Linked DNA regions of Saccharomyces cerevisiae S288C. The protein of the gene in region 2 purifies or fractionates together with the protein of the main gene of each other region. This does not show direct contact. Each region holds a gene or a part of one and is shown on either strand. Other genes may lie near its edges.

Region 1 (2,994 bases), on a different chromosome or scaffold from region 2:
CGGGAGGAATCCCCATTTGGTACATCTTTATGGCCAGCTCCATCAAATAATCGATGGCTTCGTTGAAAATTTTGGCCTTATCGATTGTCGGACCCCAAACAAAAATGCCATGTCTCCTCACAATTACGGCGCATGTGTCTGGATAATCTTTAAAAGTCTTGTGCAAGTCATCGATCAACTCGTCCTCATGCGCCATGTTTTCAATGATGGGAATCTTCAGCGTATCAAAAAACGATAGCGCCATGGGTTTCTTGGTCACAGGGTCCACCTTTCCGCTTGGAATTGCTTTGATTTGTTCGATGTTAGCAATCCTGAACTCATCGCCAAATAGCAAGGAGCATATCACAGCATTTTGGGAGTGTGTATGTATTATAGCACCTGCATTTTTCTTTTGGTAGCACGCTAAGAACAATGGAGTACATGCGCTTGGCTTGTAAAGCTTGGGAGAGCGCAAATACTCTAATGTCTGAGCGTCCATGACAAACAAATCCTCAGGTATCATCTTCTCCTTCTGCACCCCAGATGGGGCGAGATAATAATAATTCGTGTTAGGATCTTTTATTGAAATCCCACCTCCAGTTCCGGTGCACCAATTATTATGAAAAAACTGCTTGCATAGCGTGCAAATGAGATTTGCTGGATGGCACGGATCATCTGAATGTATCAGAACATCTTGTGAAGACATAGTCGTTCACTGGCTCCCCTTGTTAGTTCAGTGCTTAAAAACGTTACATATCTTGATGAACAGCTAGCTGCTTTGATCAAGAGAAAAAAAAAAAAAATTGGCACCGCATCTTAGTGCCGCAATCTTACGTAACAAGAGAGCTATAAAAGTACAACTAACAACTCTTCTAATACTTAATTAGATTGAGGGCGTGCGTAGTTTAACGTCTTGCAATGGAAACATGTCCTCTTTTCGACATCATTTTCAAAATCTAAAATGGCTTCTTTCACTTGGGTACCTAAGTCTAACATTTGCAGTTCACTCTCGTGGACCACTTGGCGACAATGAGAACAGTACCACCTTATCTTATCGTTTTCTCCCCCAGGCCTATCTTGTTCCACAACAATACCCACAGTATCAGCAAACCGAACAGGACTGTGAGGAACATTTCCTGGCAATAAATATGAATCGCCTTCATTGATGATGATATCAATGAACTTTGGTTCAGCGTCTGTCTCATCCACAACCTTTAAAAGCATAGATCCTTTTTTTTGATAGAACCATTCGGGAGTTGGATTGATGTGATAACCGGTTCTTTCATTAGGCCCACCGACAATCATCACAGTGAATCCCCCTTTATGTAAGCAATAATTATTCACCGGTGGTTTCAAAAGGCCTTCGTTCTCCTTCAACCATTTGTCGATATTAATTGGTGTAGTATTAAACATTTTTTTCGATTTTTTTGGTAAATGTATGCTATTTCAGTTACTTGTAGACTGTCGTGAAAAGAATAAAGAAAGAATCTTTTACGTCCGTTTTTTTACTTTGCCGAATATGTTTCAGTGACTCACAATTTATCCTGACGCCGTCACAAAGGCAGCCATTCCATTGCAATAACGACACTCTGAATATTCACGAACGTTCACCAGACATTTGGAGGCAGCGTTCTAAATGCCGATACCCGTTCAGGAGTACAGGTGTCAGTGACAGAAAAATAATGGCACCGTTGACGTCGAAAATACATCCGCGCAAATTTTGACAGGCTATTTTGGCAGCGCAATCAAAGAATAAACTTGGTATAGTAAGGAAGCCAGTTACTGTACGCATGAATTACGGTAGCTTTTTTTATTTTATTTATTTTTTTTTTTTTTGGACAAATAGAAAAATTTTTATTATTATGTAAGATTATTGAAGTAAAAATACAATTGGACGAATCTAGTTAGATTGCCAAGATGTGTTAAAAGGCAAGATTAACTTATGAACATGATCTACAACGTCCTGGTTTTTAAATTCGAGTAAATACGCCTCCTTTTTATCTGTGAATGACAGTCCTGTTCTCCCAAGTCTTTTTACATCATGGAGACGGGAGTTATACTCTCTCGGGTACAAGGTTCCTTCAGCATCAGAACAGATCACAAACTTTATCGCAACAACAATTCCTTTATATTCCTGGGAAAATATGTCGGTATAGCCTACTCGAGACGGCTTCCAAACATCAGCTTTCGTTTTAACATGTTGCTGTTGGAATAAAAATCCACTATCGTCTATCAACTAATAGTTATATTATCAATATATTATCATATACGGTGTTAAGATGATGACATAAGTTATGAGAAGCTGTCATCGAAGTTAGAGGAAGCTGAAACGCAAGGATTGATAATGTAATAGGATCAATGAATATAAACATATAAAACGGAATGAGGAATAATCGTAATATTAGTATGTAGAAATATAGATTCCATTTTGAGGATTCCTATATCCTCGAGGAGAACTTCTAGTATATTCTGTATACCTAATATTATAGCCTTTATCAACAATGGAATCCCAACAATTATCTCAACATTCACATATTTCTCATGGTAGCGCCTGTGCTTCGGTTACTTCTAAGGAAGTCCACACAAATCAAGATCCGTTAGACGTTTCAGCTTCCAAAACAGAAGAATGTGAGAAGGCTTCCACTAAGGCTAACTCTCAACAGACAACAACACCTGCTTCATCAGCTGTTCCAGAGAACCCCCATCATGCCTCTCCTCAACCTGCTTCAGTACCACCTCCACAGAATGGGCCGTACCCACAGCAGTGCATGATGACCCAAAACCAAGCCAATCCATCTGGTTGGTCATTTTACGGACACCCATCTATGATTCCGTATACACCTTATCAAATGTCGCCTATGTACTTTCCACCTGGGCCACAATCACAGTTTCCGCAGTATCCATCATCAGTTGGAACGCCTCTGAGCACTCCATCACCTGAGTCAGGTAATACATTTACTGATTCATCCTCAGCGGACTCTGATATGACATCCACTAAAAAATATGTCAGACCAC
Region 2 (4,259 bases):
CCGGTTTATTGTCTACAATGGCACAGTTAATTAAGGCGCAGGTTGAGCATGAACCAATCTTCATTATTGTGTTGATCTTCGGTCTAGTGATTCTTGTAATGGCCACTTTTGTCTCCCATACCGTCGCGGCAATGATCATCGTACCATTAATGAGTGAGATCGGTTCCAATCTACCTTCAGGTGATCATTCTAGACTATTGATCGTTATAGCCGCCCTATTATGCTCTAGTGCTATGGGTCTTCCAACCTCTGGTTTCCCCAACGTGACTGCCATTTCAATGATTGATGAAGTTGGTGATAGATATTTGACCGTGGGTACATTTATTACGAGAGGTGTACCAGCCAGTTTGTTAAGTTATGCCGCTATTGTTACAGTAGGTTATGGCATATTGAAAGTAATGGGATTTTAAGATTATCCATAGAGAGAATGAAAGGTTACTAATATAGTATGTATACGTGCACTATTATTTAATTTTACTTTATATTGCCTCTAATTATTCTCAATCACAACCAAAATACTTTGAATCAAAAAATCTGGTCAATGCCCATTTGTATTGATGATTTTGTAACTTTTCTCTGGAGATGATCATACCAGCAAAAATGTTGACTTTGTTATCAAATGCATTTAATATACGTCGGATACCAACTTCAGTGGCCAAATAAACCACCACGCTAATCTTTTCCAAATCAATACCATGATCTAAAAGCACCTGGATGGCCATGATCATGGCCGCACCACTTATGATTTGACCTTCCATTAAGAAAACCTTGCCAAACTTTTCTATATTTGGGGGTAAAAATTCGCAATGCAGTTGAGGTTCCCCAGTTTGTGAATCGGACTGAATCAACAATTTACCAATTGTGATATTGGGGATCGTCTTTCTCAAAGACTTCATAAAACAATCGCCAGATCGAATAATATTAACAGCTGTAACTTGATCGAATTGACAGGCAATAACGTTTTCCATGGTATGCTCACCAGGTGTAATTATGTTCGTATGTGCTACAGGAATGTCATCAAGTGCCCATGATAACAAAATTGTTGCTAACCTGTCAAAGTAGAAAACAAAGTCCGCGCAATTTAGATTTTTATTTAGAAGCATAGTATGCAGCGAAAGAACTTGGTTGGTGGGCGGCAATTCATGAATTATGTTACGATTAAGCACATCTTGTGAAGGAGAAGAGCCCAATTTGATTAGCTCTCTTAAGTGTTCATTTGATTTTAGTTCCAGTTTTGACTTGATGTGGTTAATGATTAAATTTACCGCTGTAGCATTATCACTCATCGATGGAATGATAGCATCTGCATTCTTCATTGTTGGTTTCACAAACTTTACCGCATTTGGTTTCACAAATTTCTCCCATTGTTGAATACAACCATCCAAATCTCTCCCTCTGGAAACTATATCTCTCGACAATCTTCTTGCTAAGCAGACATCCAAATCAGCGTCAACATAAATTTTCAAGTCCATCAAATCCAGCAATCGGCGATCGTAAAGGGCGTAGATCCCTTCGATAACTACCACACTGGCCCCGTATATGACTATATTTTTATCAGGAACTCTATTGTGGTGGACGAAGCTATAAACTGGGATATTTGTCCTTTTGCCCTCCTTTAAGTTCAAAATGCACTTATATGCCAAATCTAAGTTGATGGCATTTGGCTCGTCGAAATCGTATTCATTTTTAAAGGCTCTGGCTCTGTCCTCTGGGCCTAATGGATTGTAAAAGTTATCCAAAGATATTAATACTGTCCAGGGAACATTAATTGACGACACAATCTTAGCAGCAACGCTTGTCTTGCCTGAACCTGAAGCACCACCTATACCTATTATATATGGAGTTGTCCATGGTGGGATATACCGAGAGCTTTTTCCTTTTGTTTTTTTGACATCTACTTCACCATCCATGACTGCATTAGCTTTCAATGTGTCTCTTGTTTCATCGTCTAAAATTGAAATAAATGATGAAGATCGTTCTTTGGAAGGTGCTATACGATGGGACATAATAAATAAAATAAATGCGAGTTCGAAATTAAACGTATGAAATTATCGAAGATGTCGCATATAAATAGTAAATAAGACGTTATCCAAGGCCTACAGCCTTACGAAAAAAAAAAAAAATCACATCTCTTATCTTATCGATCTAAATTTTTCAGTTTCCTTTTTTCATCTCGAAGCTCATCGCATGAAAAAAAAACTTCGATATGTGAGCGTATTAAGACAATAGAGGAAATAGTGAGAACAAGTGGGAAAATTAAAGACTAATCATCGAAAATATGCAAGAATTCTTTAAGTGCTCGTATCTCAAATGTAGCCAAAACAGTACTAGCCCATACAACCTGATGACGAGAACGTGCTGAAAGTGGAAGACAGTTAGTTACCCGGACAATTAAAAAGTGATATTAATCAATTGTATAAGTAATAACGGATAGCTGCTATATGTTTAATTGGCATCTATATAGATAACAAGCGTGTATAGCAACACATGTCAAGTATTACATCTGAAACCGGTAAGCGAAGAGTGAAACGAACGTATGAAGTTACAAGACAGAATGACAATGCAGTAAGAATAGAGCCTTCTTCCTTGGGTGAGGAAGAAGACAAAGAGGCCAAGGATAAGAACTCTGCCTTGCAGCTAAAACGATCACGCTATGACCCCAATAAAGTTTTTTCTAATACGAACCAAGGTCCAGAAAAGAACAATTTAAAAGGAGAACAACTTGGATCACAAAAAAAGTCATCAAAGTATGATGAAAAAATAACGTCAAATAATGAACTTACTACAAAGAAGGGTCTACTAGGTGACTCCGAGAATGAAACTAAGTACGCCTCTTCTAATTCTAAATTTAACGTAGAAGTTACTCATAAAATAAAGAATGCAAAAGAAATTGACAAAATAAACAGACAACGCATGTGGGAAGAACAACAATTGCGAAATGCTATGGCGGGGCAAAGCGATCACCCTGATGATATAACATTGGAAGGCTCTGACAAGTACGATTATGTGTTCGACACAGATGCAATGATTGATTATACTAATGAGGAGGACGATTTACTACCTGAAGAGAAACTTCAATATGAGGCACGTCTAGCACAAGCTTTAGAAACTGAGGAAAAGCGTATACTGACTATACAAGAGGCAAGAAAACTTTTGCCTGTACATCAATACAAGGATGAGCTACTACAAGAGATCAAAAAAAATCAAGTTTTGATTATAATGGGTGAAACCGGTTCTGGTAAAACCACACAGTTACCCCAATATTTGGTAGAAGATGGATTCACTGATCAGGGAAAGTTACAGATTGCCATAACACAACCACGTCGTGTGGCGGCCACTTCTGTTGCTGCAAGAGTAGCAGATGAAATGAATGTTGTGCTTGGGAAGGAAGTGGGTTATCAGATCCGTTTTGAAGACAAAACAACCCCAAATAAAACGGTTCTAAAGTATATGACGGATGGTATGTTACTAAGAGAATTTCTTACAGATTCCAAATTAAGCAAATATTCTTGTATTATGATTGATGAAGCTCATGAACGTACTCTAGCCACAGATATCCTGATAGGTTTGCTGAAAGATATTTTGCCGCAGAGGCCCACTTTAAAATTGCTTATATCATCAGCAACAATGAACGCAAAAAAATTTTCAGAGTTTTTTGATAATTGTCCCATTTTCAACGTTCCTGGGAGAAGATATCCTGTAGATATCCACTACACATTACAGCCGGAGGCAAACTATATACATGCCGCTATAACAACTATTTTTCAAATTCATACTACGCAAAGTTTACCGGGGGATATATTGGTGTTTTTAACGGGGCAAGAAGAAATTGAAAGAACAAAAACCAAACTGGAGGAGATCATGTCTAAATTAGGTTCTAGAACAAAACAAATGATTATAACTCCTATATACGCAAATTTACCCCAAGAGCAGCAATTGAAAATTTTCCAGCCGACTCCGGAAAATTGTAGGAAAGTTGTTTTGGCAACTAATATTGCGGAAACTTCATTGACCATTGATGGTATTAGATATGTCATTGATCCTGGATTTGTTAAGGAAAATTCGTACGTACCCTCCACTGGAATGACCCAACTTTTAACAGTTCCATGCTCAAGAGCTTCAGTTGATCAGCGTGCCGGTAGGGCTGGTCGTGTTGGGCCGGGAAAATGTTTTAGAATTTTTACCAAATGGTCATATTTGCACGAGTTGGAACTTATGCCTAAGCCTGAGATCACAAGAACAAATCTTTCTAATACGGT
Region 3 (4,625 bases), on a different chromosome or scaffold from region 2:
TTGCTAGGCGATGAGCATCGACAGTTTTATACGTAAATCAATGGTTAGATAGATAATATTAATAACATACAAGACAATTTTTGCTTCGATTAAAGTGTTGGCACGAATTATTGTTGCGGTTCACCAACCACTATACATTTTTTCTCTTCCTTCCGCATCTTTATCTGGCCCCGGTAGGTCATGAAGTCTAGTAAGCAATTGGTTCAGGACGCTAAGGATTATCGCTTCAATCCGGCGATACCATTGAGAATTTACCTGAAAACATGCATCGGCATATTGGAAAAGGCACAGTGTGCGTTCCAGGCCAACGACTTGTCGCTGTCGTTTATTTATTATTTTAGATATGTGGATTTATTGACTAACAAACTATCTAGACACCCTGAGCTTTTGCGCATGGATGCGTCGTCGTCATCGTCGTCATCGTATATTCATAAAAGAGAATACCTGCAACTCATAAAGTTGGAAGTGCCTGCGGTCTGCAAAATTATTGAAAGCTTACGCACCCAAATTGATTCTCAATACAGCAAATTGCAAACATCACTCGCTAATAATATAGCCAAGCCGAACATAAACGCAAACACAACTCCCGTGCAGGTGGAGCAACAACCACTGCCGAAGAAATCTTTCGACGAGTATAGCTTCAACCAATCAATTTCTTTTTTCCAGAAAATTTCAAACGCACAACTTAATACCGGAGCAAGCTCTCAGAGTCAGGCCACTGCCCGTGATGAAGCCTACAGACTGAATTATCCGGAGCTACCACGCCTTACATTCTCCACATAGCATCCTTTTTTTTTTTTTTTTTCCATACCATACGAACATACATAACCTTACATACAATATTACATGATTACTCTGTTACAACACGTCTCCCCTTCTTGGTCTTGACCATTGTACTTTGGCTGGTATGTCCAATAGAGTCGCGTGCGCTACAACTTCGTCCTTGTGGGTCATGAGGTTCGTCAGCTTATCCATCTTCTTGTTCAACTTCATTAAATACAGCAGATTTAACACCAAGAGCACCAAGATTATTATGTTCACCCAGTTAAACCTCCATCTGTCGCTGCCTATTTCTGAGATTTCCGCCTCAGCTTCTGGTTTCGACTCCGGCTGTACCATCGTCAGCTCCGGTGCTGCCACTTTCCTAGGTGATCCAAAAGATGTAACACTGGGCAACGGCTTGAGTGTATCTGCTTTTTCTTTGCTCAATTCCACGTATTTCTCTACAAATTCTTCGACTAACTTTACCAAGTCCTTAGTGGCGCTAATTTGTCCATTTTTACAATTGCTCTCTACCATTGGCTTGATCCAACTGGATGCGTTCCAGTCCACCCAAAAACTTATTTTTAATATGCAACCTTGCCCCTGGTCATCCCATCGGAACATGTACCTCGTTCTGGTGCTGAAACTGGTACCACTAGGAACATTTGGTGTTCTTGTTATACTTAAAACATTTATGTACCTTTCCCAGTCGCAGTGTAAAAGAATTTCCGCTACCTCACAGTTTGTGGATTTGGGCCCCACAGGGAAATGCAGCTGTTTGGTGTATTGGAATTCTCTGTAATGTTGTCCATCTTTATTGACTTTTTCAAAAGTCCCTATGTGTGAGATGTTGGACGAATCTTGAGTTTTCAAAAAGCTTAACTCAAAAACTGGATTATCTTCATTGAACATCATAATGAAAAGTAGGCCGGGTGGAACGCTGAATTGACGTTCCAGAAGCACGTATTCATTATTAGCCTCAGGTTTATAAGGAAAGTCCATGGTTTCTTGTACATGGAATGGCCCCTCATATTGAAATGGTGCGTTTGGCTTTAACCTATATACGGGCCTACAATAATAAGTTGTTGAAGAGCCTAAAGACGATGACGACGATGACGACGAAGATGAAGAAGATGGCGATGCTCTTGGTGTGCCCATGTAATCGTCCACGGACCTTATGGCCTCCTCGATGAGCATGTCGTTCTCGCTCATGTAGGAAGCCCTGCTTGTTGGTTCAGTAGTGGTTGTCGATATGAAATCGTTATATGCATTGGTAGAAACATTGTTGAATATGGAAGAAGGGGTCGATGATATTCCCTTTTTCTTGGAGACCCTCTCATCAACCTCCAAAACGTCATTGATATTGGTTAAGTTTTCCTTTGACCAAACTCTTGTAATCAATTGGAAAACCTCGTCTCTCGCTATGAATCCGGAAAAAGTGTACCTGTTAGTCACGGTTTCCACCGAAATAGCACTTGAATTTGTGGTGACCTTATCTAAATATTTAATTTCATTCAAGGGAATCTGTAACTTTGCCATCCAGTTCAACACGGTTGAGTTGAAACATAAATGTGTGTTGGAGAGATAGATTCTGCCCTGATAGGGGAATTCTCTGTGGAAGTAGCAGAAGTAGTCCGTAATAAGTCTCGTATTAGGAGCTAATGGCTTGAACATTTGGCGGAATTTTTTATTAGCCTCCTCGGATGCAAACTGGACCTCAATATTTTTGACTTCATTAGTAACCGTATCTTGTGAATTTGATTTTAGGGAAAACGTGCTCAGTACGGTGTCAAAAAATGATGATCTCGACGAACAGTTAGAAATAGACGGCCTCTTGGCATCTCCATCAACCCCATCACTGTCCCCATTCGTCGAAGTGGCCATGATAATATTATTTACAGACGTCAAAGCTGTCTCGCCACCGCCACGATGATTGTCCAAGATAGAATTAACATCAGACAAGTGCGGGTCTGCCGGCGACGATTTCAACCCATTCAATGGCACTGAACCATCCCTACCGGGCGAAATCAACATATGTTCGGTAGAAGACTTCTGAAAGCTCTTACCCTTAATAAATTTTCTGGCACCATCCATGCCACCTTCTTCCACCACCGGCTTCACTGCATTCAACTCATTATCCATAGCGTCACCAAGCTCGCGCATACTATCCCCCCACATTCTACAATTCAACGTACCATGCTCTCTTCATTGCGTTCAATTATTCTCTCTAGATGCCACTAAATTTAATTACTTTGTCCCGCTTATTGTTAACTAAACGATTGTCCCATCGCACGGTCGCTGGTTCAAGTAAAAACGGTGAATTTTTCAATTGTTTAGTAGAGGTCTGTTGTAAAGATCATCAGAAAAAGAGTTAAAAAGTGGCAGGAAAGTATAGGGTTTTCTTGGCTGGGCAATGACTACCACGATAGGATCCCCACAAATGCTGGCTAATGAGGAGAGACTTTCTAACGAGATGCACGCACTGAAGAACCGGTCCGAGCAGAATGGGCAAGAGCAACAGGGTCCCGTTAAGAACACTCAACTGCATGGCCCTTCTGCAACCGACCCGGAAACTACGGCCACCCAAAAAGAATCTCTAGAAATGGTACCGAAAGATACAAGTGCAGCGACTATGACAAGTGCGCCTCCGCCAGCGTTGCCGCATGTTGAGATTAATCAAGTCAGTCTGGCATTAGTAATAAGGAACTTGACGGTATTTACAATGAAGGAACTTGCTCAGTACATGAAAACTAATGTTCACACCCAGGCAAATGAGCCTAACTCCGCAAAGAAAATACGTTTCTTACAGCTGATTATATTCCTAAGGACACAATTTTTGAAACTTTACGTGCTTGTGAAATGGACCCGTACTATAAAACAAAACAACTTTCACGTACTAATCGATCTGTTGAACTGGTTTAGAACGACTAACATGAATGTCAACAATTGTATTTGGGCTTTGAAAAGCAGTCTAAACTCTATGACCAATGCTAAATTGCCCAACGTGGATTTGGTCACCGCTTTGGAAGTTTTGAGTCTTGGGAGGCCAAATCTACCTACACACAACTTTAAATTAAGCGGTGTCAGTAACTCTATGGATATGGTAGATGGAATGGCCAAAGTTCCCATTGGATTGATTTTACAGAGATTAAAAGATTTGAACTTGACTGTCTCAATAAAAATTGCATTAATGAACATTCCTAAACCATTAAACAGCTATCATATCAAAAACGGTAGAATCTACTTTACTGTCCCTAATGAATTTGAAATCCAGTTATCGACTGTTAATAGACAGTCCCCTCTGTTTTTTGTGGATTTAAAATTGTTGTTTAACACGGAAGCTGAACAAACTGTTTCAGCAGTTACAGAAGCTACTTCGACTAACGGCGATAGTGAGAACAATGAAGAAAACTCAAGTTCCAACGGAAATAACCTTCCTTTGAATAAGCCAAGATTAGAGAAGTTGATCAATGAAATTCTTTTGAAAAGTAATGATCCATTATTATCCCTATACAATTTTCTGCACAAATACGTGTTGACATTACAGCTATACATGGTTCATAGAGAGTTTTTAAAGCTGGCCAACGGCGGTAAATTTTCCAAAAGTAATTTGATCCATAACTATGACTCTAAAAAAAGTACAATTACAGTTAGATATTGGCTGAATGGGAAAATGGACAGTAAGGGTAAGATCACTATTGGCATTCAAAGAACAACAGAAAGTCTTATCTTAAAATGGGACAACCAGAGTGCATCAAGGGCCAAAAATATGCCTGTAATTTATAACAATATTGTATCTAATATCGAAGGGATTTTGGATGAAATTATGTTCAATCATGCTAGAATCATCAGATCGGAGCTGT

What was found.
Region 1: the proteins of URK1 (region 2) and BNA1 purify together in Saccharomyces cerevisiae (affinity purification with mass spectrometry, with the first as the bait; one large-scale study listed by BioGRID). This does not show direct contact.
Region 3: the proteins of URK1 (region 2) and LAM6 purify together in Saccharomyces cerevisiae (affinity purification with mass spectrometry, with the first as the bait; one large-scale study listed by BioGRID). This does not show direct contact.

Annotation. Positions count from the first base shown.
Region 1 is NC_001142.9:470,280-473,273, forward strand, and holds BNA1 (3-hydroxyanthranilate 3,4-dioxygenase), read right to left. Parts: upstream 1,393-2,994; coding exon 859-1,392; downstream 1-858. Other genes in the region: methylthioribulose 1-phosphate dehydratase MDE1, read right to left, coding at 1-685; YJR026W (gag protein), read left to right, coding at 2,481-2,994.
Region 2 is NC_001146.8:645,179-649,437, reverse strand, and holds URK1 (uridine kinase URK1), read right to left. Parts: upstream 2,007-4,259; coding exon 501-2,006; downstream 1-500. Other genes in the region: PHO91 (Pho91p), read left to right, coding at 1-410; DEAH-box RNA-dependent ATPase PRP2, read left to right, coding at 2,488-4,259. UniProt on the Saccharomyces cerevisiae protein: Catalyzes the conversion of uridine into UMP and cytidine into CMP in the pyrimidine salvage pathway.
Region 3 is NC_001144.5:277,177-281,801, reverse strand, and holds LAM6 (Lam6p), read right to left. Parts: upstream 2,941-4,625; coding exon 859-2,940; downstream 1-858. Other genes in the region: RFU1 (Rfu1p), read left to right, coding at 181-783; RGR1 (Rgr1p), read left to right, coding at 3,176-4,625.